Saccharomyces cerevisiae S288C: one gene and its partners. The main gene of each other region encodes a partner of the protein of the gene in region 4 in a complex. Each region holds a gene or a part of one and is shown on either strand. Other genes may lie near its edges. The genes, in order: MRPL22, MRPL36, MRP20 and MRPL17.

What was found.
Region 1: MRPL17 (region 4) and MRPL22 share a complex: the UniProt entries of both Saccharomyces cerevisiae proteins name them as parts of the mitochondrial large ribosomal subunit.
Region 2: MRPL17 (region 4) and MRPL36 share a complex: the UniProt entries of both Saccharomyces cerevisiae proteins name them as parts of the mitochondrial large ribosomal subunit.
Region 3: MRPL17 (region 4) and MRP20 share a complex: the UniProt entries of both Saccharomyces cerevisiae proteins name them as parts of the mitochondrial large ribosomal subunit.

Annotation. Positions count from the first base shown.
Region 1 is NC_001146.8:299,914-307,953, reverse strand, and holds MRPL22 (mitochondrial 54S ribosomal protein uL22m MRPL22), read left to right. Parts: upstream 1-3,338; coding exon 3,339-4,268; downstream 4,269-8,040. Other genes in the region: NOP13 (Nop13p), read left to right, coding at 1-553; TDA7 (Tda7p), read left to right, coding at 974-2,884; 40S ribosomal protein uS3 RPS3, read right to left, coding at 4,552-5,274; Rho family GTPase RHO5, read left to right, coding at 7,305-8,040. UniProt on the Saccharomyces cerevisiae protein: Component of the mitochondrial ribosome (mitoribosome), a dedicated translation machinery responsible for the synthesis of mitochondrial genome-encoded proteins, including at least some of the essential transmembrane subunits of the mitochondrial respiratory chain.
Region 2 is NC_001134.8:478,658-486,402, reverse strand, and holds MRPL36 (mitochondrial 54S ribosomal protein bL31m MRPL36), read left to right. Parts: upstream 1-1,899; coding exon 1,900-2,433; downstream 2,434-7,745. Other genes in the region: transcription factor TFIIIC subunit TFC1, read left to right, coding at 1-1,661; GRS1 (glycine--tRNA ligase), read left to right, coding at 3,036-5,039; CBP6 (Cbp6p), read left to right, coding at 5,480-5,968; MUD1 (Mud1p), read right to left, coding at 6,080-6,968, 7,058-7,065; TEF2 (translation elongation factor EF-1 alpha), read right to left, coding at 7,356-7,745. UniProt on the Saccharomyces cerevisiae protein: Component of the mitochondrial ribosome (mitoribosome), a dedicated translation machinery responsible for the synthesis of mitochondrial genome-encoded proteins, including at least some of the essential transmembrane subunits of the mitochondrial respiratory chain.
Region 3 is NC_001136.10:1,274,209-1,282,161, reverse strand, and holds MRP20 (mitochondrial 54S ribosomal protein uL23m MRP20), read right to left. Parts: upstream 4,517-7,953; coding exon 3,725-4,516; downstream 1-3,724. Other genes in the region: ATP-binding cassette multidrug transporter PDR15, read right to left, coding at 1-2,952; DNA-directed RNA polymerase II subunit RPB7, read left to right, coding at 4,993-5,508; DIT1 (Dit1p), read right to left, coding at 5,950-7,560. UniProt on the Saccharomyces cerevisiae protein: Component of the mitochondrial ribosome (mitoribosome), a dedicated translation machinery responsible for the synthesis of mitochondrial genome-encoded proteins, including at least some of the essential transmembrane subunits of the mitochondrial respiratory chain.
Region 4 is NC_001146.8:166,869-175,021, reverse strand, and holds MRPL17 (mitochondrial 54S ribosomal protein mL46 MRPL17), read left to right. Parts: upstream 1-2,735; coding exon 2,736-3,581; downstream 3,582-8,153. Other genes in the region: Nrd1 complex RNA-binding subunit, read left to right, coding at 707-2,434; TEX1 (Tex1p), read right to left, coding at 3,736-5,004; RTC4 (Rtc4p), read left to right, coding at 5,774-6,979; mRNA-binding translational activator GIS2, read left to right, coding at 7,232-7,693; trifunctional dihydropteroate synthetase/dihydrohydroxymethylpterin pyrophosphokinase/dihydroneopterin aldolase FOL1, read right to left, coding at 7,925-8,153. UniProt on the Saccharomyces cerevisiae protein: Component of the mitochondrial ribosome (mitoribosome), a dedicated translation machinery responsible for the synthesis of mitochondrial genome-encoded proteins, including at least some of the essential transmembrane subunits of the mitochondrial respiratory chain.

The DNA of each region.
Region 1 (8,040 bases), 130 kb from region 4:
TTCAGGTAGGCCAGACAAGGACGATTTAGTTGCCATGTCCAAAAATCCACCGTCAAGGATTCTATTTGTCGGTAATTTGTCATTCGATGTCACAGATGATCTGTTAAGAAAACACTTCCAACATTGTGGTGATATCGTGAAAATCCGCATGGCAACATTCGAAGATAGTGGTAAATGTAAAGGATTCGCATTTATCGACTTCAAGAATGAAGAAGGATCTACTAATGCATTAAAGGATAAAAGTTGTAGAAAAATTGCCGGAAGGCCATTGCGAATGGAATACGGTGAAGATAGAAGTAAAAGACAAGTTCGTAAGAAGGTTGAAAATGTATCCAGAAACAATTCCTCATCATTTGATATCTCTAACAACAAAGGATACGATCGTGCGGGACAGGATAACGGCAGCAAACCCGAATACAAGCGGTCCAACGCCAACAGACGTCCACCTGTAGATTCCAATAACCGAACTAAGAGCAGTGTAGCTTTAGCCACTGCTCAGAGAGGTTCTGCAGCTATTGTCCCATCACAAGGTAAGAAAGTGAAGTTTGACTAATCAGCGTGAACTGACTGTAGGTGCCACGTATATAATGCGATTATTTCGCTTGTAAATTATTCAATCATTCATGTTTTATATATACATTGTATAACCAATTGCTGCTATTTTTATTTTTTCCATTATTGCTTATCAAGGCACGGGGAGAACGCACGGAAAAAAAAAAAAAAAAGAAGAAAGAAATGAGGTAAACAAGATCTTTAGGAGCGGTTCGCATATTAGTAATACACTGATAATCGCCGTACACTCATAAAATCCTAAACTACTCACCAGGTACCGAAACACTACTGATCCGTTTTTTGGACTGGTTGTTGGCACACTTTCGCTTAAGACACACATTTAGTATTTCAATCCCCATCCGTCGATATCTGAAGGAAATCTAAAAGAAAAGCTGGATAGAGTAATTATTTTGGCCATCGTATGAACTCCAATAGTACCATCGGAAGGACCACCCTTGGAGAATCTGATACGATATCCCTGTCATTCAGTGAACCAAGTAGCAGTCTGAATTCACGATCAACGGATGTTGTCTTCGCATCTACTTCAACTTTAGTACCCCAACAAGGAAGTCTGACCTCATTACCGCCCGTGTCTAGTACAGCTACTCCTACATATTATTCTACAAGCTTAACATATGATGAGACTTTGCATACATCCATTGATGTATCTTCGACAAGTACTTTAGTATCATCTACCGACAGCAGTTCATCGAGCGAGCAAGATACGTATAGTTCCCAATATGACCCAGCTACCTCCTCATACTCAATAATTACACCATCCATGTCCATTTTCTCATCGACGTCACCAATGTCATCATCGTCGTCAATAACGTCGGAATGGTCATCGTTAACATCAACAACACCAACGTTATCGTCATCAGCTACATCGCTGTCATCATCATGGTCGTCGTTATCATCACCATCTTCGTTACTGGTATCGTCCTCGTTGTCATTATCACTATCTTCATCATATTCAGACACTAAATTGTTTTCGTTCGACAGCAGATCTTCTATTTTCTCACCATCAACACCCACCGTAATATCCCCTAGTTACACATACTTGTCTTCCATATCTGCAACTTCATTTCAAATTAGTACCACTTCAGAACTCTCTTCTAGTTGGTTCTCAACAATTTCTTCTCCTTCTACGATATCAAATAAAGATACCACATTCCCAAGTTCCAGTCGGAATACTTCCACATCGTTTTACAGTTCATCGCTTTCATCGACGAACGATTTTTCAACCATAAGCAAATCATCGAAACTCAGTCCATCAGCTTCATCTTCGACAGTTTCCATAAGCACGATTTCCGTGCCAACGTCAAGTTCTGTTAGCTCATCCAGCAGTAAAGTACCTTCAAACCGTCCTTCATCATCATCATCATCAGATGATACAACAAGTGCTTACTCAAGCACGTATACTTTTCAGTCCTTACAATCTACTACTAGCAGCAGTATACCACCCACCACTCAAACACCCAGCACTAGTACGATTTCTACGTCTCCCATACCAACATCCAGTCAGGTCTTCAATACGGTAGCCATTTCAAGCTCCGAAGATTCAAAAACTATTTATTATTTCTATACCCAAACATATGATATTACTGACTCCTCTACAACGTTCGTGACGGGATTACCTACGACCATAGCAGTTGCAAAAAGTGAGGTAACCTCATTTTCCGCTCCATCTTCGACGATCACAGCTGACATGTCTTTCTATCAGCACTGGCTTGATGGCAGTTTGGATAATAACAAAAACCAAGGCACTTCAAAGACAAATACTGGTACCATTGTTGGAAGTGTGGTAGGAAGCGTCGGTGGTATTCTTATATGTGTACTAGTAGTTTGGTTCATGCTGGTTAGAAAAAGGAAGGCAAAGAGGCATTTCAAGGAAAACGATTCCTTCTGTCACGAGATTGGGCGCAGAACGGGATTCCCAACAACTGCCCAAGCAAAAGAGGCGTCACTTCAAGCTCAAGACTCGGGATCACAGCAACGAAACACCGAGACTGCTTCTGCTAATAATCCGTTCAGCAACGAATTCAATTTTAAGGCAAGAGGAAATCCTCCTCCAGTGCCACCACCAAGGAATGTTACCGCAATGAATGGCTCCTTTCAAAATATGCGGAGTAATTTCATGGACCAGGAAAACAGATTTTCCTATGGCTCTTCATTTACATATTCGTCATTGGGTTCATCTACTCAAGGTGGCTTTTCTACTTTATCTTCAAATTCGATACGACTCGGACGTGGTTTAGATAATGACATCTCTCATGATGAGAGAAATACAGTTCAGAACAATTCACAAGGGTTCTTGAGGGAAATTATATGACGATGACTTCAGTCTATTAGTATGATGTTTACTAATTAAGCAAAATCAGCTCTTGCTGAATAACACTACTATTAAAAATCATAAAAACATCTTTATTGCCAATAGTGAAGAACGACAAGGCCTTTTAAAAGGCATAAAAAACAATGATACCATTCTGCAATGAAAAAAAAAGAAAACTTTGTTCTTTGTGTATAAAGAAAATATTTTAGTTCTCCTAAATAAATAAATACTAAATTATACGAAACTCTTTCAGTCTTTTCTCCTGCTTGCTGCTTGAACAGTACTCATGATATTCTATTAATCTTCTGTGGGCGGGGTAACTAAGCCTTCACTGTACTCGGGATTTTGAATAAAAGTCAACTATCCAATCTGGAAGGCATTTTAACATACGCCATTAGGAGCCGCATAGCAAGTCAGAGAACCTCACCTCACCCTATCTTTTTTATTAAAGAAAATGAACTTCCACACGGCAAGAATATCTCAGGTCGGTGTCATTTCTAGGGCTCTACTTTCTTCTGTAAGTAGACGTTGGATTCATGTAACGCCAATAAGTCTTAATAATTCAGGAGGATCACTATTCGGAAGCATTACAGAAAATAAACCAAAGGAAGGAAAAAACAGGGGGGATGAAGATGCAGGCAGCTTCTCTAATAGGTTAGCGATTGCTTCTGATTCTTCTGGAGAGGCTCCTGAAGTTAATAGGGATTCAATAACCATAGAAAACGATAAACTACTACAGCAACATATCATATCGTTGCAGCAACCGGAACAATTAGCATCACAGAGCTTATTATCTCCTTTGAAAAGGGAAATATATGAAGCTAATTGTAAAATTAATGGTGGGTTTTACAAGAAAGATACTATTGTAAAGTTACCAAATTCTAGCGAACGTTACAAGCTAAAGTTAACAAAAAGAGAAATTGAAGTACTAGAACCTTCCGTATATGCTCAGTCATATAGAATTAAATCGTCGATGAAAAAGGCTACACTTTTGTTGAGGTTATTGGGAGGCCTCGACGTTATGAAAGCTATATCTCAGTGTCACTTTTCTAATAAGAAAATTGCTCGCGAAGTAGCAGAACTACTTCAAAAAGGTGTAAAAGATGGCCAAAAATTAGGTTTGAAACCAGAGGACTTATATATCTCTCAGATTTGGACAGGGAGTGACGGGTTTTGGAGAAAACGTGTTGAATTCAAGGCAAGGACAAGAATCGGAATCATAAGTCATCCTTACATACATGTCAGATGTATTCTGAGAACAAAGAGTGTTACGAAACGAAGACTTGCTTATGAAGCACATTTAAAAGAGCAAAAAAGAGCGCCATGGGTACAGTTGGGAGATAAGCCCATTAGGGGTGTTACAGGCGGCGTATACAAGTGGTGAAAACGATAGCGAACTCATTCATATCCGAGAAATCGTCCTGTAAGCTGAGAAAGATGAACTGCTACTCACTTCTTAACCTATATTCACAGTTGTGTTGTACAAAACTTTTCTTTTGATTATATAATATTGTGATTCTGTAAATAACAACTAGTTTCAACGCACTGCTTCAACGTGCACCCTCCTGACTAAACACGGCAATATGCAAGAAACCGCAACAATTAAGTGCACTAGAATAGAAGAAATTATTGTACTTATAGTTTATTTATGTATTTAATAATTAAATCTAAGCTTCAACTGGTTCAGCTTGAGCTTCAGTTTCTTCAGCTGGTCTGTAGTCCTTGACAGATGGAGCAAGAATTGGTTCTTCTTCTTTTGGTTCAATGATGGTGACAGCATCTGGCAAAGCCTTTGGACCAGTTCTGCTCTTAGCTGGGTCTCTCATAATCTTAACCTTGATACCCAAAACACCTTGTCTCATCAAGACGTGTCTAGTAGCAGTGTCAATGAAGTCGTTGACTGGTTGACCAGAGTGAATCAAGAAACCGTCAGCAAATTTCATAGCCTTAGCTCTGGCAGCTCTTAGTTTACCGGAAACAACAACTTCACAACCCTTAGCACCAGATTCCATAACGTATCTGACGACACCGTAAGCAGCTCTTCTGATAGCCAAACCGTTCAACAATTTGAATTTCATAGATTCAGCTTGAGCGACAGCGGACAAACCACGGTCTTGAACTCTTTCAGCATATAAGACAATAGTACCTGGAGCGTACTTGAATCTCTTTTGAACCAACAAAGTTAATTCGTTGATTCTTCTACCGTTTTCACCCAAAACATCTTGAGTTCTGGTAGCTCTGATGATAACTTCGGTCTTGGTTGGAGTGACACGGACTTCAACACCGGAGTAACCTTCTTCAGCTAATTCTCTGGTGAAGAATTCGTTCAATTCAGCGTAGAAGACACCGTCAGCGACTAGCTTTCTTTTCTTAGAGATTAAAGCGACCATTTTTGTAGTTTGTTTGCTGTTTTATTTTCAGTTATCAAAACAATGTTCAAAAACTAATCTAACAATATCTACAAACTAGAAATTGCTTAAAATGTATGAAAAATGCTGTTGTATTTCAAAGAGCTGCATTGATTTGGAAAATTTACCACTGCCCATGGGAGAAAGGCTCGCGGCGCCTCATCTCAAGAAAAGAAAATGTTTTTTTCATAAAAAAAACAAACTTTACAGCAAGAATATTATACAGGAAAGGTATGGATGTTACGGAAACAAAAAACAGTCTCATTTAATCATGAGGAATTAGATTATTCCAAAGGAACATGAAAAGAAGTGAAATCAAGAAAAAAAAACAAGAGAATTTACCGGCGGCCAAAAATACTAACGTAATCCCGTTGACGTTTACGCATGCAGTGTTGTAGGCTCACCAGCAATTATGTTAGTTGAGATGTAACTGCTTCGCGTGAACACTACGTAAATGTTATTGTGTGGAACTGACGTGGACCTTTTCTGTGTTGCTTTTAGTATAACGATATCCATCCTTTTACTTGGATTTTCAAGGTATGTTGACCCTCAATAGTTTGAGCCAGCACGATGGCAGGCCCTTAGGCAAATCAAAAGCATCATGCGGCGGAGGATTTATCATCGTGATGTCATTTAGGATAACGCTATGCATCTTATGCCTGCTGCCAGACCGCGAATTTTTATTTTTTTTATGGTCTGCTTCTGGATCATGCGGGCCGGCCTTCTAAGACATTGACTACGCAGCCTTTCATGTACAATTTTACATTTGCCTGAGGATTGTTTGTCAGGTGTCGCGGCCACAATTCTCCGATTTTCTTCCTGCCATGTCCTGCTGCTTACATCAGCGCAGCACGTGAAAAAAAAGAGGAGGACTTTTGAGGATGGTTGAGTTTTTCTTTTAATCGTTTTGTTTCTTTATTGTTTTTATTTTTACGACATTTTCCCCTCGAAGAATATTTATCCGAAATCTCCTCAAACAAGACATAAATCAAGATGCAAATGGTGGTAGATAGAGAAAGCAACTAAAAAATGTCAAACAAGCGTCCTTATTTCATTCTACAGCGGTTAATTTCAAATACCCTAATCGGAGGTCTTATCTTATTTTTCAAGGGCAAGGCTCTCCACATCGGTAAGTGATGACCAGATAATGGAAAGTAGCAGAATTTTATTTATGTGCCATACAAGCCCGGAGAAACAGAGTAGCTAAAAAATTAAGGTGTGCAAAAGTGGTTTTGTTCCCCGACGCCCGGGCCTTTCTCTCCCCTGAATCTTTTCGTTCCGGCCCCCCTCTCTCAATACCAGATCTGCATCTATACTAAAGCTGCAGTGAGAGTAAACCGGAAAATTATCCTGCGTGTTTGCTTCGGTCTTAGCTTTTACTTGGGTATGCGAGAACCTCTAAGAGCTTAGACCGGTCTTCCTCCCTAAAAAGAAAATTATAAAAGGTTATTATCTGGACTAAAGCAAAAAAAAAACAACGTTTCGGCGTCCGCTCAAAATTTTCATTACGCTTCTTGGTCAAATCAGTTACGTAACGGGTTATGACGAATACGATGAGATGAGTAATTGCAGAAGGCTCCTATGCAGACAGCTAAGCAGTGCTTACTTGAATTACCTTCCCTTTTATTTCTTGATATATCGTCCTTTTTCTCTCTATCTTAGTTCTTGCGAGTACTGGCAATCATGTTTCTCCTTTTTTTTTCTTTTTTTTTTATTTTTTTTTTTTTTTTTTACTTTTCAGTTTCTCGTAGCTTTTCCTATTTTGCTATTTAAAGTAAGTTTAAATAGTACCCTCACTAAACACGTACGGCCGATCCACCAACGAACAAAAGCACGATCCTTGACCCATCATTGTATTCCAAAGCGTTGGAACATTCACTTTTTTTTTTCCGGTCTATTGCACAAGACAATATCCAGAATATTCAGTTGGATAGGAAATACAAGACAGGTGGCACCCACAAAGCACACGCCGAAATATTTATTAAATACAATATAGTATACTAATAAGTCTGATGAGGTCTATTAAATGTGTGATAATTGGTGATGGTGCAGTAGGTAAAACGTCACTTCTAATATCATATACTACCAATTCGTTCCCAACAGACTATGTTCCAACGGTTTTTGATAATTATTCTACTACGATAGCTATCCCGAACGGAACTGCGAGTAGCCCCCTAGAGCTTGACAATGGTAATGATAAAAGAGGTTCACTTTCATCTGCCAGTTCTTCACCAAGTACGGACAGAAAACTATATAAAATCAATTTATGGGACACTGCAGGACAGGAAGATTACGATCGTTTAAGACCGTTATGTTATCCCCAAACAGATATTTTTTTAATATGTTTCTCAGTAAGCGAACATGCTAGTTTTGCCAATGTCACAGAAAAATGGCTACCTGAACTGAAGCAGACTTCCAATATTGAAGGTACCTCTCTTTATACTAAATTAGGGAAGTATCCAATTCTATTGGTAGGCACCAAAAGTGACCTAAGAGATGATCCGGCAACTCAGAAAAAATTGCAGGAAGCAAACTCCGATTACGTGTCTCAAGAGGAAATAGATGAACTCGTACAAAGATGTGGGTTTATGGGCTATACCGAATGTTCAGCTGCTACCCAAGCAGGTGTCCGGGAAGTCTTTGAACAGGCGGTGAGGTACGCTATCTACGAACCAGAATCCCCTAACCAAAAATCAGCAAATCATACTCTAACTGATGAATTAACGACTGCAACAACCAACACCAATG
Region 2 (7,745 bases), on a different chromosome or scaffold from region 4:
ATTTTAATGAGCATCCTGTAATTGGTAAAAGAGTTCCCTTCAGAGATGAGTCGGTCATATTAAAGGTTACAATGCCTAAGGGAACTTTAAGTAAAAATAATAATAGCGTCAAAGATTCTATCAAATCCTTAAAAGATTCGAATAAATTGAGAGTCACTCCTGTTTCCATAGTAGATAACACTATAAAATTTAGAGAAATGTCAGATTTTCAAATCAAACTGGATAATGTCCCCTCTGCAAGAGAGTTCAAAAGTAGCTTTGGCTCTCTGGAATGGAATAATTTCAAAAGTTTTGTCAATTCTGTACCAGATAATGACTCTCAACCTCAGGAAAACATCGGGAATTTGATCTTAGACCGTAGCGTTAAAATTCCGAGTACAGATTTCCAACTGCCGCCACCTCCTAAGTTATCAATGGTTGGTTTCCCCCTGCTTTATAAATATAAAGCTAATCCATTTGCGAAAAAAAAAAAAAACGGTGTCACAGAAGTGAAGGGAACATATATCAAAAACTATCAGTTGTTTGTTCATGATCTTAGTGATAAGACAGTTATACCGTCCCAAGCTCATGAACAAGTCCTGTACGATTTTGAGGTCGCGAAGAAAACAAAAGTCTATCCAGGCACTAAAAGTGACTCTAAATTTTATGAATCGCTGGAGGAATGCTTGAAAATTTTGAGAGAGCTCTTCGCTAGACGTCCAATTTGGGTTAAAAGACATCTTGATGGGATTGTCCCGAAGAAGATACACCATACTATGAAGATAGCGCTGGCACTCATATCTTATCGTTTCACAATGGGGCCTTGGAGAAATACATATATCAAATTTGGTATAGACCCCAGAAGTTCAGTGGAATACGCCCAATATCAAACAGAATATTTTAAGATTGAAAGGAAATTACTATCTTCTCCCATAGTGAAAAAGAATGTACCAAAGCCACCACCCCTGGTATTCGAATCAGACACTCCAGGCGGTATTGACAGCAGGTTCAAATTTGATGGAAAAAGAATACCGTGGTACCTGATGTTGCAGATTGATTTATTAATTGGTGAGCCAAACATTGCAGAAGTTTTTCACAACGTCGAATATTTAGATAAGGCGAATGAACTAACTGGATGGTTCAAAGAATTAGACTTGGTCAAGATAAGAAGGATAGTAAAATACGAACTTGGTTGCATGGTTCAAGGAAATTATGAGTATAATAAATACAAGTTGAAGTATTTCAAGACAATGTTATTTGTTAAAGAATCCATGGTACCCGAAAACAAGAACTCAGAAGAGGGAATGGGTGTTAACACCAATAAAGATGCTGATGGGGACATAAATATGGATGCAGGTAGTCAAATGTCCTCAAATGCCATAGAGGAGGATAAGGGTATCGCTGCTGGTGATGATTTTGATGATAATGGCGCCATAACTGAAGAGCCAGACGACGCTGCTTTGGAAAATGAAGAGATGGACACTGATCAGAACTTGAAGGTGCCTGCAAGTATAGACGATGACGTGGATGACGTTGATGCAGATGAAGAAGAACAAGAAAGTTTTGATGTTAAAACAGCGAGCTTCCAAGATATCATAAATAAAATAGCTAAACTAGATCCTAAAACCGCGGAAACAATGAAAAGCGAGCTCAAGGGATTTGTTGATGAAGTCGATCTGTAATAAGTAGGTTTTCTTTTATTTCAATATCAAAATATGCCAAATGTGCAATAAAACCATAACTACGTATGTGATATTTCTGAGTTTTGTCCCCAAACCGTAAAGAGCGATTATCTCGTGCAAAATGCATCAAAATCAAATAACTAAAATGAAAGGGTATCATTATTATTCCTAAAAGTTAAGAATGCCTCCAGAAAGAACGGGTACCAACGCAAACGAACACACGTTTTGTTCACTCCTAATGTTGAAGTCTATATTTGCGAAGCGATTTGCTTCCACAGGGTCATATCCTGGTTCTACAAGAATTACTTTGCCAAGAAGGCCTGCAAAAAAAATTCAACTGGGGAAGTCACGACCGGCTATTTATCACCAATTCAATGTCAAAATGGAGTTGAGTGATGGAAGTGTAGTTATCCGGAGATCCCAATATCCAAAGGGTGAAATTAGATTAATTCAAGACCAGAGAAATAATCCGCTGTGGAATCCTAGCAGGGATGACCTAGTCGTTGTGGATGCTAATTCTGGTGGTAGCTTGGACAGATTTAACAAGAGGTATAGCTCTTTGTTTTCTGTCGATTCAACGACCCCAAATTCAAGCTCTGAAACAGTTGAACTATCTGAAGAAAATAAAAAGAAAACACAGATTAAAAAGGAGGAGAAGGAAGACGTTTCTGAAAAAGCGTTCGGTATGGATGACTATCTATCTCTGTTAGACGATAGTGAACAACAGATCAAATCAGGTAAGTTGGCCAGTAAGAAGAGAGACAAGAAGTGAATAGTGTTTGCTCCCCTTACTTTTCTATTCTCGAACCAATTTATATTCCTTTTGGGACATAGATCTCAATCGCATCTGTTTGAAGACTACATAAACAGCCTTGTATATACCGCAACATATACACATACGTCTACATATGTATATATTGACAACGAAGATTCTGCGAACGCTTGGTTTGGCGCTATCGCGATAGATTAAGTGCAACAAGACACACATTTACAAACATAATATGAACCAGATATGATTCATGGATTATCGAGGCAAATGGTCTGTGAATGAAGCTCACTTACGCTGCAATAAGCAGCAACGGCATTGTAGTGATCATTTTCTACGCCTCGTAATATTTCAGCGCAGTGGAAAAAAATTGAAAATTTTTACTCTTCTCGAGTGTTGAATCACTGCTGCGATACTTATCACGTACTTTGTATACATAATTTTACTTGCAATTAGGACTCGAAATCTGTTCAATTACTTTTGAGGATTTCTTTTATTTTAGTTTCCCTTTTTGCATTCGTGTTGATTTTCAAGAAAAATTGTCGTTCTTCAATATCAGTAGACGATTTTACTCTCAGATTGTTAAAAAATCGGTTAAGATTAAAAGAATGAGTGTAGAAGATATCAAGAAGGCTAGAGCCGCTGTTCCATTTAACAGAGAACAGCTAGAAAGTGTTTTGAGAGGAAGATTTTTTTATGCCCCAGCTTTTGACTTGTACGGTGGGGTTTCTGGTTTATATGACTATGGTCCACCAGGTTGTGCATTCCAAAACAACATCATTGACGCCTGGAGAAAGCATTTTATTTTGGAAGAAGATATGTTGGAAGTTGATTGTACTATGTTAACTCCATATGAGGTTTTGAAGACCTCAGGTCATGTTGACAAATTTTCTGATTGGATGTGTAGAGATTTGAAGACTGGTGAGATTTTCAGAGCTGACCATTTAGTCGAAGAAGTTTTGGAAGCTCGCTTAAAGGGTGACCAAGAAGCCAGAGGTTTAGTCGAGGATGCTAATGCCGCTGCTAAGGACGATGCCGAAAAGAAGAAGAGAAAGAAAAAAGTTAAACAAATTAAAGCAGTCAAATTGGATGACGACGTTGTCAAAGAATATGAAGAAATTTTGGCTAAAATAGATGGTTATTCCGGCCCAGAATTAGGTGAATTGATGGAAAAATACGATATCGGTAACCCAGTCACCGGAGAAACTTTAGAATCTCCAAGGGCTTTTAACCTGATGTTTGAAACGGCTATTGGCCCATCTGGTCAATTAAAGGGTTACTTGAGGCCAGAAACTGCCCAAGGTCAATTCTTGAATTTTAACAAGTTGTTAGAATTTAACAACAGTAAGACCCCTTTTGCCTCAGCCTCTATCGGTAAATCATTTAGAAATGAGATTTCCCCAAGGGCCGGTTTATTAAGAGTCCGTGAATTTTTGATGGCAGAGATTGAACATTTCGTTGACCCATTGGACAAATCTCATCCAAAATTTAATGAAATCAAAGACATCAAGCTTTCCTTTTTGCCTCGTGATGTTCAAGAAGCTGGTTCTACTGAACCAATTGTCAAGACAGTTGGTGAAGCAGTTGCTTCAAGAATGGTCGATAATGAAACTTTGGGTTACTTTATTGCCAGAATTTACCAATTTTTGATGAAAATTGGTGTTGATGAGTCCAAATTGAGATTCCGTCAACATATGGCTAATGAAATGGCACATTATGCTGCTGACTGTTGGGATGGTGAATTGAAGACATCTTACGGGTGGATTGAATGTGTCGGATGTGCTGATAGATCTGCCTATGATTTGACCGTTCATTCCAAAAAGACCAAAGAAAAATTGGTTGTTAGACAAAAATTAGATAATCCAATTGAAGTCACCAAGTGGGAAATTGATTTGACGAAAAAATTGTTCGGTCCAAAATTCAGAAAAGATGCACCAAAAGTTGAATCTCATCTATTGAATATGTCTCAAGATGACTTGGCTTCCAAGGCTGAGTTATTGAAGGCAAATGGCAAGTTTACTATAAAGGTTGATGGTGTTGATGGCGAAGTCGAGTTGGACGATAAATTGGTTAAAATCGAACAAAGAACAAAGGTTGAACACGTTAGAGAATATGTTCCTAGTGTCATTGAACCATCTTTCGGTATTGGCCGTATCATCTACTCCGTTTTTGAGCACTCTTTCTGGAACAGACCAGAAGACAATGCCAGAAGTGTTCTTTCCTTCCCACCTTTGGTTGCTCCAACAAAGGTTCTTTTAGTTCCTTTATCTAACCACAAAGATTTAGTTCCTGTTACTACTGAAGTCGCCAAAATCTTAAGAAAGTCTCAAATCCCATTTAAGATTGATGATTCTGGAGTTTCCATTGGTAAAAGATATGCCCGTAATGACGAATTAGGTACTCCATTCGGTGTCACCATTGACTTTGAATCTGCCAAAGACCATTCTGTCACTTTGAGAGAAAGAGATTCCACCAAGCAAGTTAGAGGTTCCGTCGAAAATGTCATCAAGGCTATCCGCGATATCACTTACAATGGTGCTTCTTGGGAAGAAGGTACCAAGGATTTGACTCCTTTTATTGCCCAAGCTGAAGCTGAAGCTGAAACTGACTAAATAAATGACTTAATTTTAACTATATATCGCCAAACATGTAAATTAAAAAAAGAAGCGAGAAGTATATACATGTGTGTATGAATAAATAATTCGTTTACTATTGATACGTATTGCAAGATATGATTATGTACTGTCCACTAATACGATTATTTTGGAAGTTTATAAAAGAAGTGCGGAAATCACATCTGCTGTTTATTTAGCCATTCCTCACACTAATAGTTAAAGTACTTTCATAGCAGCTCTGCGCATGGTCGGACATGCGAAAAATTCTGATATCAAGAAAAAGCGAAATATTTCCGGCCTTGTAGGGGCCAAAACATTAACGTATATCAAGATTTCCTGTGGTAGCAACATTATAAGAAAAAAAGGTAGCCTTCATTGAAACATTCTCTCTATCAGCTTACCAAGTTAAACTCCGTATTCCACAAGCAAGTGCCAAAATGTCTTCTTCCCAGGTCGTCAGGGATTCTGCCAAAAAATTAGTTAATTTACTGGAAAAATATCCAAAGGATCGTATACACCACTTGGTCTCATTCAGGGATGTACAAATAGCAAGATTTAGACGTGTAGCGGGTCTGCCAAATGTAGATGACAAAGGAAAATCTATAAAAGAGAAAAAACCCTCATTAGATGAAATAAAAAGTATAATTAACAGAACTTCCGGTCCATTAGGACTGAATAAGGAGATGTTAACCAAAATTCAAAATAAAATGGTAGATGAGAAATTCACGGAAGAAAGCATCAACGAGCAAATTCGTGCCTTGAGCACTATAATGAATAATAAATTCAGAAACTATTACGATATTGGCGATAAGCTCTATAAACCTGCAGGAAATCCCCAATATTATCAACGGTTAATAAATGCCGTTGACGGTAAGAAAAAGGAAAGCTTATTTACTGCAATGAGAACTGTATTATTTGGTAAATAAAGAGCACATTATTTTCTAAGCTTGTAAATACATATTTATTCATAATGGAGAACGTTATTCAAATTTATCTGTGAATTTCTTTACTCGAGGTATACTTCCGCAAAGGAAATTCTACTTAGCAAATCCTATGGTAACGTCATTGTTTTGTAGCTTGTAAGTGGAGCCTAACTGATTCTTGATTTTCGTAGCATCAGCAACGGTCTCGTATTCCACGAAAGCTAGGTTACGAACGCTAACTAATCTGATTTCAACTAAAGCCTCATTGCCAAGTATTTGCGACAATAATTGCTCGGTAGTGCCGCTTGGCAAATTTTGTATAAGAAGGACTTTGTTCGGTGGATTTTCCATTGTATTGGACACTTTAGCCCGCTTAAGAGGTTTCTGCGATTGTTTTAGATTTTCTTGCTGAGACTTCATGTTTTCCAATCTACGGGTTTCAAATTCTTTTACAATCCTATCAATCTCAGCCTCCTCTACCTTTCTTGATCTCAGCTTATGCTTCAGGCGTCTTATTTGCCTTTTAAGCCTGAACTTTTTGGCGCATATATCATCACTACGTAACTTGCGTTTAAGTTTCCTTGCTTTAAGCACCTTCTTTATATCAAGGTTGTACGTTTCGTCATTACCTTTTTTTTTTTGCATTTCTATTGAAAGACCCAATAACGAATTTGTTCGAGCCTTTCCCATTCTCACTTTACGACCTTGAACTTTTAATGCTGTTGTCGTGTATTTTTCTAGAAACCGGTCTGCTTCTTCTTGAGTGACAAACGTTAAAAATGCTTGGTTAGTCATCTTTGATGATCTTGAAATAGAAACTTCAAGAAGGCCCATTTGATCATCTAGTAACATCAGCGGTTGTGATGATATTTGTAATTTATTGTGGGGAAGGGGTAGCGACGGATTAATGGCATACTTGTTGTTGGGATTAATGTGTTTCAGAAGTAATCTGGTATAATTTTCTTTATTTGCTGGCCTACTGGGTAAATTTTGAAAGTACAGTCTGTTTTTATTGGTCATAGAGTATAGAATAATGAAAACGTTAGTAGAAAGAAGATTTAAGGAAACGTAAATTACAAGGTATATACATACGCTGACATGGTTTCTTTAGGTTTGATGAGGCCGTCTTTTGTTGATAGCAGCTTTTTCCATTTTTTTTTTTTTTGTTTCGAGTAACGTATGGTTTAGTATCTGTCTTCTCCTTCTCTTACAAAAAAACCCTTTGTAAAATAGTGCCGAGTTGGAGGACATCAATCTGATGGGCAAGAAAACACCAACCCCCCCTATATGAAAAGAAAATGATAAGCAGATAGATAAAAATACTTAATTAACTAATACATAAAAATAAGAGGTATATAAAAATATTATATGGAAGCAATAATTATTACTCTTATTTCTTAGCAGCCTTTTGAGCAGCCTTGGTAACCTTAGCGGCCTTTTCAGTCTTGTCAACAGACTTGATAACACCGACAGCGACAGTTTGTCTCATGTCTCTGACAGCGAATCTACCTAATGGTGGGTATTCACTGAAAGCTTCAACACACATTGGCTTAGATGGAACGAACTTGACCAAAGCAGCGTCACCGGACTTCAAGAACTTTGGATGGTCTTCCAACTTCTTACCAGATCTTCTGTCGTTCTTTTCCAACAATTCGTCGAATCTACAAGCAATGTGAGCAGTGTGACAATCCAAAACTGGAGAGTAACCAGCAGAGATTTGACCTGGATGGTTCAAAACAATGACGGTAGCGTTGAAAGAAGCGCAACCCTTTGGTGGATC
Region 3 (7,953 bases), on a different chromosome or scaffold from region 4:
AGCTGAAAATCTCAAAGATTCTCTTACTGTAGCCGTTTTCAAATGTAAATCCTGTTGTTGACAATAACCAATAGATCTAGGGAATGATTCGTCACGGAGACGACCATCGACAAAAATATTACCAGTAATAACACCCATGGTGACTCTTTCAGCCAAACAATCCAGTAAAGTTGTTTTACCTGCACCTGACGCCCCCATTAAGGCAGTCAAAGTGCCTGGTTTTACCCAACCATCTACGTTATTTAAGATACGTCTTTGACCTCCTTTTATAGGAACATCATAGCATAAATCACGCCAGTGGAAAATTGCTTCAGATTTGGAAAGTCCTAATCCGGCATTATCTGAAGAGCTATCCGATCCCTCAGAACTATCATCTAGTATTTTTTTTTCTGTTGTAGCGGAATCTGGAGAACTGCCTGCATTATTTTCAATATCTCCAGGCCTATGCTTTTCTTGTAATTTACCTTCCTTTTTCAATTGCTTGATCTTAGATCTTAGGAACACAACCATTTCACCCTTTTGTTTAGCACCTTCATTATACTCACAAAGAATTAGATAAACAAAGAAAAAGAAAACAACATATGCCATACCAATACCGAACCCACGCCACTTATGTTTGTGCTCATAATCGTAACTTTCCTTCAAGAAGTCATCACCCAACACATAGTCGTTACCTGGATAAGCACCAACTGCGGAACAGACGCGTTGAGTACCTGTGATGTTCTGATAAGCAGGGCCAGCAGGGATGTATTGGGCACAAGGGAATCTACGGTCATGGAATTCATTGATCATTAAAGATTCAAACAGGTAGGCTAGCGGGTTGATATACCAAATCCAAATGGACCAACCTAAAATCTTCGTTTTAGGGATGGCAAACCCTGTATACATAGAAATTGCCAATAATAACATTGAAGCGGGGACCATGGCCTCCTGTAATGTTTTGGTCAAGGAGCCCACGCATCTAAATAAATGGGATAAAGTGAATGTGGCAATGACATTAATTAAAAAATAAAAGAAAAAGACACCACCGTTTCTCCTGAAATCAACTAGGAAATAAAAGATGATGTTGAAGCAGACAGCAGTGATCAATTTTGGCGGCATTTCTGACAAAACAGACGCAAATGCGTCAGCGCTTGGATGATACAAGGAATAAGTTCTGTGTTTTTCAGTTATAGGTCTTGTTTCATACAAACTAAAGATTTCCAAAAGACACGAAAATGCATTAAATAAAATAGCAAAAAACATTGCAGCACCACGGAAATAGAAAGTGGAAGTATCGTTTTTCTTCATCACTTTATAAAACATAGAACCCAAGATGAAAGCCATGACAGAGTTACCGATGACTTGCCACAAAGTAACACTAGCACTTTGCTTCATTCTCCAGAAATTTCTAATCAACAAGTATTTGACTTGCATTCCGTAGTTGACAACGTATGGAGAGGAAGGTGGTGCCCTTTTTGCCTGTTTAGCGTGGTGAGCATCCCTGATAATATTGCGTGCTTCATCTGTGTTTTTCTCTAATGTAGAGTCTATATCCTTGATTAAATTTTTGTAGCTTTCTGATTGTAGCCAATATTCGGCCATATCCTTTGGCGTTTGAGGCACTCTAGTACCTTTTTCGATAAATTCTTTGCTAATAATTCTTTCAGTAGGACTTGTAATTGAAGTTAAAAAATCTGCAGTGGTCTGTCTGGGAGGACAATAGTAGCCCATGTCTTGGAAATATTTCTTTGCATCCTTAGCGGGCCCAAAATAAAGCTGGTAACCATCATCCAGGACACAGACCTTATCAAAAAGATCATAAGCATCCTGAGAACATTGATAGATGGCCACAGTAGCCGCGGTCTTTCCAATGTCAGCCTGGGTTTTTAAAGCACGGATGAATTCTAAAGCAGTAGCAGAGTCCAAACCTCTGGTGGCATTATCCCAACATTGAAATCTGGCGCCGCAGATTGCGACTTCCGCAATGGATACACGCTTTCTTTCACCACCAGAAACACCTCTGACTAGATCGTTTCCGACCTTGGTGTCCCTTGTATGCGAAAGACCATATGTGGCCATTGCAACTTCTGTCACGTGATTGGCGTACGCTTCTCTATCAACACCCTTGATACGATTTTGCGGCGTTTTCATCCTTGCCACGGTGAAAAGCGTCTGGTACACGGTAAGATGCGGTAAATGAATATCTGATTCCGCATTGTAAACGACTTCACCACGGTAATGTTTCCTGATATCCGAGCTTGACAAACCGTTGTAAGAGACAATGGAGTCTTTTGCGATCTTGAACCCGTGCGAATTAGAAGATATGGATTTTAGCAGCGTAGTACAACCTGACCCTGGTCTCCCAAGAACAACCAACAGTTCACCGGGATTAAGACAACCATCCATGGGTTTCAGGATCTGAAAAGTGTCCTCTTCTTTACTGGGCTTCAGTAATCTGAGCCCTTTCGTAAGCAGCTTTGGTACGATGTTAGCGAAAGTTGACTGGTATGACACATCGGCGGAGTCTCCGGAGGCGCTTAGATTCTTCCATACACAACCGAGTGAGTATGGTTTATAGAAATCCGGGTCCGAAGTACAAATATTTGCCATGTTCTGTACCCACGCCGTACTGGAGAATTGATCACTGTTAGGGTCCAATTTGGGATTGTATCCCGGGGTGTCCGGGTTAGTGAACACCGGGTTCACACCTTCCATGTCCGTAGAAAATACGGATCTCGAGTCCGCATTGTGCGCATTATGGTTGCTGGAAGAGCTATTGTTTGAGTTAGCAGTGTATAGTAAACTCTGCGATGTGAGTGTTCTAGCCAACTCATGCACCCTTTCCGCGGCTTCGCTGTCGAAACCGCGGTATGGATGCTGTCCAATGGATTGGGCGGCAGAGTTCGAGCTCGAGCTTGAGCTCGAGCTCCGCGAATTTCGTTCCTCTACGTCTCTGATATCTGATGACATAGGTTTTTGATAATTATAAGTGTGTTTGCTTGTGTGTGTGTGTGTTTATATATTCGTATAGTAACTGTTATACGCTAATAGTATTAGTGATGTGATGTTCTTAACAGTAGTATACTTGAATACTGCATATGACGTATCTACAACAAGACTAGCAAATCTCTTTACAGCAACATAAGAAGGCAATTTGGTCCAGGTAGAGAGCTCCTGCTTATATATTCCTCAGATGTACATGCTCCCTTTCCGATCCCTACTACCAAAGTCTCGCACAGCAGTAGCAGTATTCTTTTCCCTCATCGTCTTACCATCGTGCCATACCTTAACCCCGGCACCGTGCGTTGCAGATCCGCCCCTCGCGGACCCGCTCGAGACTCTCCGCGGAACGAGCATGCGGACGGCTCCGCGCCACTGTCTCCGCAGGCATCCGTGCATGGCATCCCGCGGAAGCGACCCTGAAAATAATAAGTAAAGCAACCAATGTTCTTGCTCTTTGCGCGAACAAAAATAAAAAAAGAACAGAAATACAGGCCACCTTCCAGGGCAGGGGAAGGGGATGCCATCATCATTCTTTTCTTCCGTAAGGCATGTTCTACAGCCACTTCATATATTTTTGCGTTTGTTGCTCGGAAAAAGTAATGTTCTTAATTTTCTTTCTTTTTTTTTTTTTCTGTTTAGAGATTATGTAGTTTGCTCCGTATATACAAGTGTGAGGGGTGCAAGATGCTTATCTGGGTATTTGCGTGTGGGTTAACGAAGGGGTGGAATGGGAAACCTTCTAATGTAGATCTTCTATGTACCTGTTCAGGGCAATTAGTTTATCTGCGCGCTGCAGTTCGGCGGCGTGACGCTCTCGCTTATTGTCTATCTCTCGTTTTAAGAAGCGAGGTATAAAAGGCTGGGCCACCCGTTCGTAAGGCCCCACGACTCCGTCGAATGCTGTGCCGGGTTTGTTGGCGTCTGAGCCCAAGCAGTTAAGTCTTTCTTCACGGTACTTTTCCATGTTGTCAGGCGTGGTGCTGTCCCAGAAGGAGTTTTCGTCCGGACGGGGTTCTTCGGGCCAAATGAAGGGTTCTTCCATCTCGATAGTCATTTTCTTGATCTGCGGTTCTCTAAACCGCGTCGTCTGTAGGTTCATACGGTTAAACTTCCCATGAAGCAGCTGCGTCGTAATGTTCATTGCTCTTAAGCCGTAGATATGATAAAGATAGTCTCTGAGATCCAGTTTGTTGAACGATTTTGGGACGATGAATTTTGCTTGATACGGTGTGTGCTTCGCGTTGGGCCTCAAGAGGATGATCCTGGCCTTGGGAAAGTAGACTTTGTTACCTCCAACTTTGAAATGCTCCTTTCCCTGCTCTATGCCCGCCTTTGTCCACTTATAAATCTTCTCGCTTACGTTTATATCTACTTCGCGATCGCTGCCGCTTTTGTCGAGTATTTTGGAGGAACTCTCCACCACTGAGGCTAGTGATCTTATTGGAACCTGCTCTGGCTTGCAACTTCCTACTGCAAGTGTTTTTTGCAAAGGATACAACATATTCTTCGTTCCAACCGTCAATCGTGGCATATTCTGTGTTGGTGTTGCGTACTTTTTATTTTTATTTTATTTTTTTTTCTGTTGGAGCCTGCTAATCAAAGCACATTATTTGTTAGTAGCGTTACGTTCTCCACAAGAAATGTATGTACATTTCAAGTTCTAATACCATCGTTTTCCCTTTTTCATCGAGAAAATTCGTATAACGCGATTACGTATTAAGTGATCTTCTGTGGGTTTCAACGGCTATTTTGAAAAATACAAGGAAAATAAATGCGGTATTCCTATATCCCAGTGAAAATGCCAATAACGTAGACAAGCTCACTTCGTCGATTTATTCTCTAACATTGGGTCGATCAGGTCTGTCCACCTATCTCTTCTCCCAGAATATCATAGCCTTTCTTTTTCCGTTTCTCCTCCTACACCATTCTCCTTTGCGATTAGACAGTGGGAAAGTCCAAGAATAGATTCACATTTCAACCACTGTATAAATAACTCAATTTCTGAGAATGTTTTTTATTAAAGACCTTTCGCTTAATATTACCCTTCATCCGTCCTTTTTCGGTCCTCGAATGAAGCAATATCTAAAGACAAAACTATTGGAAGAGGTTGAAGGTTCGTGTACGGGTAAATTCGGATATATTCTTTGTGTCCTAGACTATGATAATATAGATATTCAACGTGGGAGAATATTGCCCACAGATGGGTCCGCCGAGTTCAACGTGAAATATAGAGCTGTAGTTTTCAAACCATTTAAAGGGGAAGTAGTGGACGGCACAGTCGTTTCATGTTCTCAGCACGGGTTCGAAGTGCAAGTAGGTCCAATGAAAGTATTTGTGACAAAGCATCTGATGCCTCAAGATTTAACCTTTAATGCGGGTTCAAACCCACCATCATACCAAAGTTCCGAGGATGTCATCACCATAAAAAGTAGAATTAGAGTTAAAATTGAAGGTTGTATCAGTCAAGTGAGTTCTATTCACGCAATCGGTAGTATCAAAGAAGATTATTTGGGTGCTATTTAATCACTTGTTACTCCGCAACGCTTTTCTGAACGCCCGCCTTCGCCTTTCATTATCATTCTCATCCCAAAAGAACTGTGCATGTTATTTGCAATACTTCATATACGCTCTGTATTATTAATAGTATCATTAATTACGTCAATTGAAATTCAAAATATCATCTTTGACAGTAACATCTATCCTCTTAGACAACTAGGGCCATTGCAGTGTCTCGAAACCATTAATATCACTGAAAAGATGAAAAGAAAGGCAAATATATATTGATCACTAATTTTCTAAGCTAAAGAATCTATTCCCCCTCTGTTAAATGGAATTGTGTGAAATAAAATATTATAAAATCAGAACTTTGGGGGGGAAACATAAAAAAATGAGAAAAAGAAAACGAACTAACTAATGTTTAAGTAAAAGAACAAAAAGGTAGACCAATGTAGCGCTCTTACTTTATTAAGAGATTTTCTTGATAACGAAATGTCCTCCTTCTCCAATATCGAAACGAGTATCTTTCCATACACCATCATACATACCCTTTTCGAGAGCCTCCTTGACTACTTTTGATTTTGTCAAAAAGTATTTCTCCTTTTCATCCTCAACCTTCACGACACAATTATGCCAAGGTGTGGGAATATGTAAAAAATCTTCAAATTTGGGTTCATCAAGGTCTTCTAACGAACTAACAATAGAACACTGTTCGTTGGAGATTACTTTTATACCAAATTTGGGCCCGCTGTTAGTGTGCGCATGAATAGAAATTCTCAAATGATGAGGGAATATCAATTCCACTAAGTTCGAATACGCGTCATTTCTCTTAATCATGTTAAAAGCGATCATTGAAATGATTTTCTTGAATTTTTTTCTGGAATAACTTTGGAAATGTTCCAGTAGAGATAAATCTTCCATCATAAAACGTGAAAAGCCCCTATACAGATGCAATCTTGGATGTCCTTCTATTGCAATCTGCTTTCTCAAACGACCTGCATCTGTATCACAGCCTTTCATCAAAATCTGTCTCGACAAATCGGACTTAGGACAGATTTGAGTTCCTGTGTAGTGTGCAACTTCAACATCACTAACCCACTTTGGATCGAAAACTTTACTAGCTGCACCGCTAAAAAATAAATCGTTCAATCCACAAAAGCCAATGGCGTCAACACCAGGTATAGCCACTCTTTTATACAGTTCGTGCAATTTGGTCGTGTAAGTACTCACGACGTCATCATCGACCCCAATACAATCGGAGAAAACATGGCCATCACTAACTATCCAAATTTTCATACCCGGTGGATATATCTTGACAAGGTCTTGTGTGGCTTTTATTAATCTTTTCAAAGCGAGTTCTTCGCCTTTGTCAGGAACGGAACCGTACACTTTTTGCTCATTAGATGACTTACATGGAAACGCTGGCAAGATGCATTCAATTCTCAAATATCGATCGGTAAAATATCTTGAACGTTCAATAAAATAATCACGGCCACCAAAATTCCATTGATCATTAACTATTGTGTTTTTCAAATTTTTCTCAAAAAAATCTGCAAATAATTCGTGATACTTAACTTCTTTGGTTACAATTGGATGTTCACTTAGAGATAATTGAGATTGGTCTAAAATATGATATACGAACCAGTTATTGAAAGAATTTTCATTCTCAACTGTTGTAACACACCCACGAATCTGGCGTTCGTCATCGCGTGTATATTCAGAAATCTTTATTGCCACTCCTAAATTATTGGTAAATTTATTTGCTAAAGAAGCTGGCAAAATTCTTTCAGAAACCCGTCCACTTACTTCGGATTCAGAAAAGTCCAGATTGTGAATAGTGTTGATAAAGTCGAGCCATTGGTCTCCAAATTTACAATTCTGTTTTTCCTCTAAAGAGTAAAAATCGTCACATTTGTCGCTTCTGCAATACAGGGCCAGAAATTTACTATATGTAGACAAATCGGCCCCATTATGGGGAATATCAATATCTTTCAACGTATCAGTCGATGAAGAAAATGAAGAGGCAGGTGGTGATATTGACTGCTCGGAGCTTGAGGGCAAGTTGCTAGTAAATGTCATTTTTGTTAATGTCTCGACAAAGCTTTACCGAATTAGGATATTAACAAATTGTTTATTTAGTCAAGACTTTGCGGAGGAGCACAATTTATGTGAAAATTTATTTCAATATTTATACATCATTTTTGATTCTGAACCTATTTTCAGAAATTGTTTTACAACATCGTAGGGCAGGCACTATGCCCTTGCAAATTTTATGATATACTGTCCACTGAAAGCAATGCAATCAAAATTCAAATAAACTCCTGAGGGGCCAATAATATAAGGATTTTTAGCACGCGACGTCTGGGATTGAGTGCCATGTATGTAAAGACGAGCAATTACTTTATGTTCCCTTATTTGTGAGGGGTTCCTGGTTTGCTTTTTTCGATCAATTCTCCTGATATTATTGAGTAA
Region 4 (8,153 bases):
CTTGTTTCAATGAATAGCACCAGAAACGCAAAAAATCTACAATTAGTTTATGGTCGAAATGAGCTACTGCGCACGTATAGCGCATTGTTTCCTATTCTACTAAAGTCCGCAATACATAATTCTATCGAGTACTCAAAAACATTATGCTTTTGATGGCTTGTTAGATATCCTTATGACCACTAACCTGAAATTGAGCAAATTCATTGGAAAGTCGGCGGCAAAAATAAATGTTTCGTCTTTGGTGATTTATTGGTCATTACATACGGTACATTTTTGATTTTTTTTTTTGCCACCGGTCGGAGCGGAGGAGGTGAAAAAGAAAAAGTATAAAAGGGCAAGTGTTTCGTCCTTCCTCCATGTTCCATTCCTCGTTAGCATGACTCCCCGCTCCTTCCCTTTACGAGTTTCATGCTTTTAACATATCAAAAGTCAGTACTCGGCAACCTTATTGTATCGTTTTCGTATCGTATCGCATCGTATTATCGTATTGTACACAACTAACTCACCAATCAAGGCTCTTCTTACAATTAGTTACGTTACCGTATCCATTGCTACAACCTATAATTTCAAGCAAAAGAAAAATATACTATTGTCTATTTTTTTGTATTGTAGTTTTCTCTGATTACACATTTTTTCTAGTACTTTTCTCCAAGCACGAGTTACAGGAAAGGAACCGGAAAGCAACAAACATACTAAACATCCCATAATGCAGCAGGACGACGATTTTCAAAATTTTGTAGCTACCTTGGAATCATTCAAAGATTTGAAATCTGGTATTTCAGGTTCTCGTATTAAGAAACTAACCACTTACGCACTTGATCACATTGATATTGAATCGAAAATCATATCTTTGATAATAGACTACTCAAGACTTTGTCCCGATTCTCATAAATTAGGTTCTTTATATATCATCGATTCAATAGGTAGAGCTTACTTGGATGAAACAAGATCAAATTCAAACAGCAGCAGCAACAAACCCGGTACTTGTGCCCATGCCATAAACACGTTGGGCGAAGTAATTCAAGAACTGCTATCCGATGCTATTGCAAAAAGTAATCAAGACCACAAGGAAAAAATTCGTATGCTTTTAGACATTTGGGACAGGTCCGGCTTGTTTCAAAAGAGTTACTTGAACGCCATCAGGTCAAAATGCTTTGCTATGGACATATCGAATAACACCGCGAACACCGCTTCACAACAACTATCACTGGATCCCAAGCAGAGGTCGAAACAAATCTTGTCAAATCTAAAGAAAAGTCCTCCTTTAAACTTGAACATAAGTCTTCCAACTGATTTGACTTCCACAGATCCAGCCAAACAGCAAGCAGCTCTTTTCCAAGTAATAGCGGCTCTGCAGAAACATTTTAAAACTTTGCCTTCACATACATCCGTGGGTACAGTCGCACCTCCCCAAGCCCATACAATTACCGAATATGGTAGCAGACGTGAACGTGAACGTGAAAGAGAAAGATATAACTCAAGAAGGAATAGATCAAGATCTCCTCCGGCACCATTTTCTCAGCCATCGACAGGCAGGAAGGACCGCTATCCATCTGTGGCCCAGGACCAATACAGCATAGGCGCCCCCAATACGACATTTGGCACAAACAATCACCACTTATACCCCGATGAGCTTAATGTTTCCAATAATCCTCATTATAGACCAAAACCAGTAAGTTACGACTCTACATTGCCACCAGATCATATTAAAGTCTACAGCCGTACTCTTTTCATCGGTGGGGTACCACTAAACATGAAGGAATGGGACCTTGCTAACGTTTTAAAACCTTTTGCTGAAGTACAAAGCGTCATTCTGAATAACTCCAGAAAACACGCTTTTGTGAAAGTTTATTCAAGACATGAGGCCGAAAATGTTTTGCAAAACTTCAATAAAGATGGAGCCCTGCCATTGAGAACTAGGTGGGGAGTTGGTTTTGGTCCAAGAGATTGTTGTGACTATCAACACGGTTACAGTATTATTCCTATGCACAGGCTCACGGACGCTGATAAAAAATGGTCAGTAAGTGCGCAATGGGGTGGCACTTCTGGTCAACCTCTCGTTACCGGTATTGTTTTCGAAGAACCGGATATTATCGTTGGTGAAGGTGTTTCTTCCAAGGCAATATCTCAAAAGATGCCTACTGATTCTGGCAGAAATGGGCCACGTTCTGGTAAACCTAACAAATCTGGTAGCATATCGTCGATATCTCCAGTACCCTACGGCAATGCACCATTGGCATCTCCTCCACCACAGCAATATGTGCAACCTATGATGCAGCAACCGTATGGTTATGCCCCCAACCAACCATTACCTTCTCAGGGACCTGCCGCAGCGGCTCCCCCTGTACCTCAGCAACAATTTGACCCCACTGCTCAATTGAATTCTTTGATGAATATGCTTAACCAACAGCAGCAGCAACAACAACAAAGCTAAGATCTTTACTCCACCCTTTATTTGCTCATAGTACATAAAACTAATCTACCTCTATATATAATTTCTGTTTTTTCCTATGTTCCTTTTTTTTTTTTGTTAAATGGACATCCTTATGTATTCACATAACTACTGTGTTTCAAATGTAGCATTATCCTATTCTTTATTCTCTTTTTTTACCGTATTCCTGGTTTTTTTTCAAGGTTTAGATGAAAATGAAAATGAAAAAAAAAAAAGGAAAGAAAACAGTTAAACAATCAATAAACTTTATATTCTACGTAATCATAAGCGCTTATCCAGTACCATGAAGGTAAATTTAATGTTGAAAAGAGGGCTTGCTACTGCAACTGCAACTGCCAGTTCCGCTCCCCCCAAGATTAAAGTCGGAGTACTACTGTCAAGAATCCCTATAATTAAATCAGAATTAAATGAACTAGAGAAAAAATACTATGAGTACCAATCAGAACTAGAAAAGAGACTAATGTGGACGTTTCCGGCATATTTTTATTTCAAAAAGGGTACTGTAGCAGAACACAAATTTCTATCCCTGCAGAAAGGACCTATCTCCAAAAAAAATGGCATTTGGTTTCCTAGAGGCATACCGGACATTAAACATGGCAGAGAAAGAAGTACTAAGCAAGAAGTTAAACTTTCTGATGACAGTACAGTAGCATTTAGCAACAATCAAAAAGAGCAAAGCAAAGACGATGTTAATAGGCCCGTGATTCCCAACGACAGGATAACGGAAGCAGATAGGTCAAATGATATGAAGAGCCTTGAAAGACAATTGAGCAGGACCTTATATCTTTTGGTTAAGGATAAAAGCGGTACTTGGAAATTCCCTAACTTCGATCTTTCTGATGAATCTAAGCCGTTACACGTACACGCAGAGAACGAATTGAAATTGTTGAGCGGTGATCAGATATACACTTGGTCTGTTTCTGCTACGCCCATAGGTGTTTTGCAGGACGAGAGAAATAGGACTGCTGAGTTTATTGTGAAGTCACACATTTTGGCTGGAAAATTTGATTTGGTGGCGTCGAAAAATGATGCATTCGAGGATTTTGCTTGGCTGACAAAAGGTGAGATCAGTGAATATGTACCAAAAGATTACTTTAACAAAACAGAATTTCTTTTAGCGGATAATTGAAATCACAAAAACAGATGCGTTTTTAACGTTACATATACAAAATATATGCGTGCATATATATTTATATATTAGGTTGTCGTCAATCACATGTAAATATCATTAAATGAAAGAAAAAGAATGTGCATTTTCTACCGCATTCCTTCCATCAGGTAACTTATTTTTTTGAGTTGAATCTACTCGGCCTATCCTTGCCAATCCTATCAGTATTCTTACTCGTCCTTTTATTGTGGTTGTTGCCTCCACCGTTGTTTTTCCTACGTTTTTCAATCATCGTGTTATCGAACATGTCTTTCCAATAAGTTATTAGATTTTTTTCGTTTTTAACAAAATGATTTGATAGTGTGTCATTCTTGCCTGACATGATATACCATGATTTATCAGGATAAAACTTCAAAACGGGATCGGTTTTGTAATTGGCTAAAGATTTAGAGTGGAGTAAATTACCACTATTAAGATCATAGAAATATACCATTTCATCTTCTGTACAAATTCCTAGTATTTTACCCAAATGACAGACGTCTAGTGTTGTTACCGCAGAGTTCAAATCGTTAATTATTAATTCACAACATAGTGACTTCATATTCCATACGTAGCAATTCCCATCGATACTCCCAGTAATGAAGTTTCTTCCCCATGGGTCCATTTTGATCTCGGTTATAGGACCAGTATGTGCTTTAATTTTGGTACAAACCTCCAATATGCCATGTTTTGCTTTTAAAATGGCCAAATAACCACTCTTAAAGCCAATAAATATATGACTTCCACCATTGCTCCATGCTAAGGAATACACAACGTCATTATCCTCTTGGCTTATATCGCTGATGTTCAAAGAACAGACAGAGCTGTGATCCTTTTTCACATCAAACAAGTAGATTTTCTCAGATTTGGTGGCAGCTAATAACCAGTTTCCTAATGGATCATAAAGACATGTGTTGACCTTAGTCTTGCTTCCCAATGACAAGGTCCTTAATTTGGATGCCGTTAGCGATTTTTCGTTGATTAAGAGTAAGGATATCTCTGATGAATTGCTCACGACAGCTATTTGATTTAAAGAAGTAGGGTTCCAGGACAAATCAGTAGCCAATTTATCGGAACCACAACAGTCTGGAATATAAACTTCTACAGATTTGTCAAAACTTGCATCTTTAATAAACCAAACGGTCAATGACCCATCCATTCTACTATACGCCATCGATGAACCTGATACGTGAAATTTTAGGGAAAGAATTTCATTTGGAGTTATGGGAGTCGAGGTGAATCTTGAATGAGAACGCGAACTGACATGAATGAACCTTTTATCTTCGATATGACTTGTATTACCTTTAGAAAACGTACTTTGTAGATATTTTGAAGTCACTGAGGCAGCCACTTCAGAAGTTATGGTCTTTTGATTAAGAATATCAACAGCTCCAATTGTCGACATGCCGAATAGTTCACTTGATCCTTTTTATGTATGTAGCTGTACACCAATCAAACCTCAATGAGTGAAGCTTTGTACGTAGAAATACTGAAGAGATATATATTTAACATAATATCTTATGTACGTAACCTGTGGTGCAAGGCTTTTAATTTTCTTAATTCTACTATGAATAATGATAAGTTAGGCAAGACACCTATACATGGTTAGTGGCGTCGTTGGGGTGTAAAAATGAATTGTCCATGCTCGGTTACTGTTTTATACAACGGTACAATAATTTAACGTTTTGTTTCTTCCGTCATCATATCCAGTGGGAAAGGTGTATTTCTAGAAAATAATGTTAACCTTCAAGGTTATGCTTTGCGATATTTGACACTTTCCAAAGAAACATGGGCACTGTTAATATACCTTCAAGTCTACATACATATATATAAACTGCATTTGGCTATCTATCGAACGTAAGCAGGAAAAAAATGGCAATTCGATTGAAAATCCAAAACCCTTTATGATACTGAAGACAACTCCAGTAATTGAATAGGTATGGAATAGTAATTCTCTGAAAACTCCCTTGAAAATTGGGAGGCAATGATACTCCTATTTGTGCTGCATCTCAATTGTTGTGGTAAATAGCGTCCTAAACTTTTTTTTTTTCCTATATATAGATGGCGTCGCTAAAATGGGAAGCTTTGAAAAATGTAGCGATGAGATCACATTAAAAGGGTACTGTATGTGCTCTCGAGACCTTAGCACAAATTTTTGACCTGCGTAGACAGAGATGGTTGGGCCTGGTCTGGGAATTAATCGAGTGAGGAGAAAAGGTGTTTATTCCACAAAAAAGGGAAGTGGTGATAACTTACTGTTAATGAAAAGACAAGGAAAACATGACATACATGATAGAGAAAGTGACGACTTATCAGGCCATGATGCCTTTTCCCCCTCAAAAAAGCGCGGCAAAATAGACAGTATCACAGAAGATGAGATTGAAGTAAAAAAGCTTTCCACTGTGGCCACATTTGATAAACTTTCGAGGTCATTTCCAAATTCAGAAGTACAAGCCGCAAAGAATGCAGCACTCAGAGGAAAAGAAAAAGAAGAAGAGAAGGTCGTTTCTATCCCACTAATACAGAATTTGAAAAATGAAGATATCGAGTCTATCAAATGCAGGAACAATAATCTTTTAGACGGTAAAAAATTACTCTTGGAGGCAGAACTATCGGCAGTTGAAGATAACCAAATCTTCTCCTCTTCATTTCCCGAGGATAAAAAGCTATCGTTACAAAGTTGTTTGAGTTCTAAAGAGCAGATAATCAAAAAACTTCAAGTAAGGGAAGAATACATGAGCAAGTTCAAACTACCACCCATGTTGTTTTCGGATGAGCTACTCACTGAAGTAGAACCCTTCATGCCCATTGTAATGGACATATTGGAGGGAAAGATATCGTCTGTATACTATTTTGAAGCAAAAAATGCATTCAAAAACTCACAAAAGGCTTACTTGTCCGTAGATGAGTTTAGAAAGTTGAATTTAAACAAATTTACTGCTGGATTTTACGGCCTGAAAAGGCAATTGAGGGTTGGCGAAGAAATCGCTAAGAGATATAAAAGGGCACTCACGCACAATCAGCCCGCAACCTTAAAATGGTGGGGGATAACAGATTTCTGTAACTACGTTTTGGCTCCAGAAACCCTTACGTCTTTTTGTATTTACCAATTAAATCTCTCGAATAAATCTTGCTCGTCGAAGACACCGAATAAACATCCAAAGCAACAATTAAACGAGAAGGAATATTACTACGATCCCGAATTAAGGATGCTAGCCTATGACTTACTCGAGGATACAGTTGAATACGGTATCATAGTAGCCGACTCTGATCCAATTGAGCAATGGGAAGCTGCCATAGAGGAAGACCGTCTGCGGGAACTGAAACTCGATGTTCATAACTATTCCAGCAGGAGATGGCGACTGGATACGCACGATTAAACAGGTAGTATATTGCCGTTTGTTGCCTTTATGGCTTAGGGATTTGAGCTTTATAGTAAGAACTGCTGTGGTGTCATGATAGACGAAATGCTGAAAAAATTTTCTTTTCGTTCCTTTTCTCTTTTGGCAAGAGTTGTAATAAGGTCATCGATGGATTAGAAATGCTCTTTCTGCTTTGGGGGCACTTGAGGATTGTATTATTTTAAGGCTTTCCCTTCAGAAATCAGGAAAAAAGAAAAGAATACGAAAAAGATGTCTCAAAAAGCTTGTTACGTTTGCGGTAAGATTGGCCATTTGGCAGAAGACTGTGATTCTGAAAGACTATGTTACAACTGTAACAAACCCGGTCACGTTCAAACGGATTGTACCATGCCAAGAACAGTTGAATTCAAGCAATGTTACAATTGTGGTGAAACCGGTCACGTTAGAAGTGAATGTACTGTGCAACGTTGTTTCAACTGTAACCAAACCGGCCACATCTCCAGAGAATGCCCTGAACCAAAGAAGACCAGCAGATTCTCCAAAGTTTCATGTTATAAATGTGGTGGTCCAAACCATATGGCTAAGGACTGTATGAAAGAGGACGGAATTAGTGGATTGAAATGTTACACTTGTGGTCAAGCTGGCCACATGTCCAGGGACTGTCAAAATGACAGGCTTTGTTACAACTGTAACGAAACTGGCCATATTTCCAAGGATTGTCCAAAGGCTTAGGTGAAACATCCACTGAAAAAAACAAAGGAACAATCACTTATCATGCTATATTTCATAGAGGGGAAAAAAGAAGCACAAGTAAACTGAATATTTAAGTTTATTTTCTATATCTTTTCTATACTTCATTTCACTTGTTTCCTCCCTTGGTTATTTTTAACGATTCTTTATTATGAAACAGGAAAAAAAATTATTACAAAACAGAATTACATATTTAATCTATATAACTAACCTTTATTCCAAACCTTTATAAATAGCATCTGCTAATTTAATGCTCTTCGAACAATTTTTAACGTCATGGACCCTAACCATGTCGCTGCCGAAACCAATACACGACGCTACCACCGCTCCAGTAGCAAAGTCTCTTTGCTTCGCATCCACATCTTTTGTGATATGTCCAATGAATTTTTTGCGCGATGGACCCAATAAAACGGGCATATTTCTGAGGTTAACATACACTTGC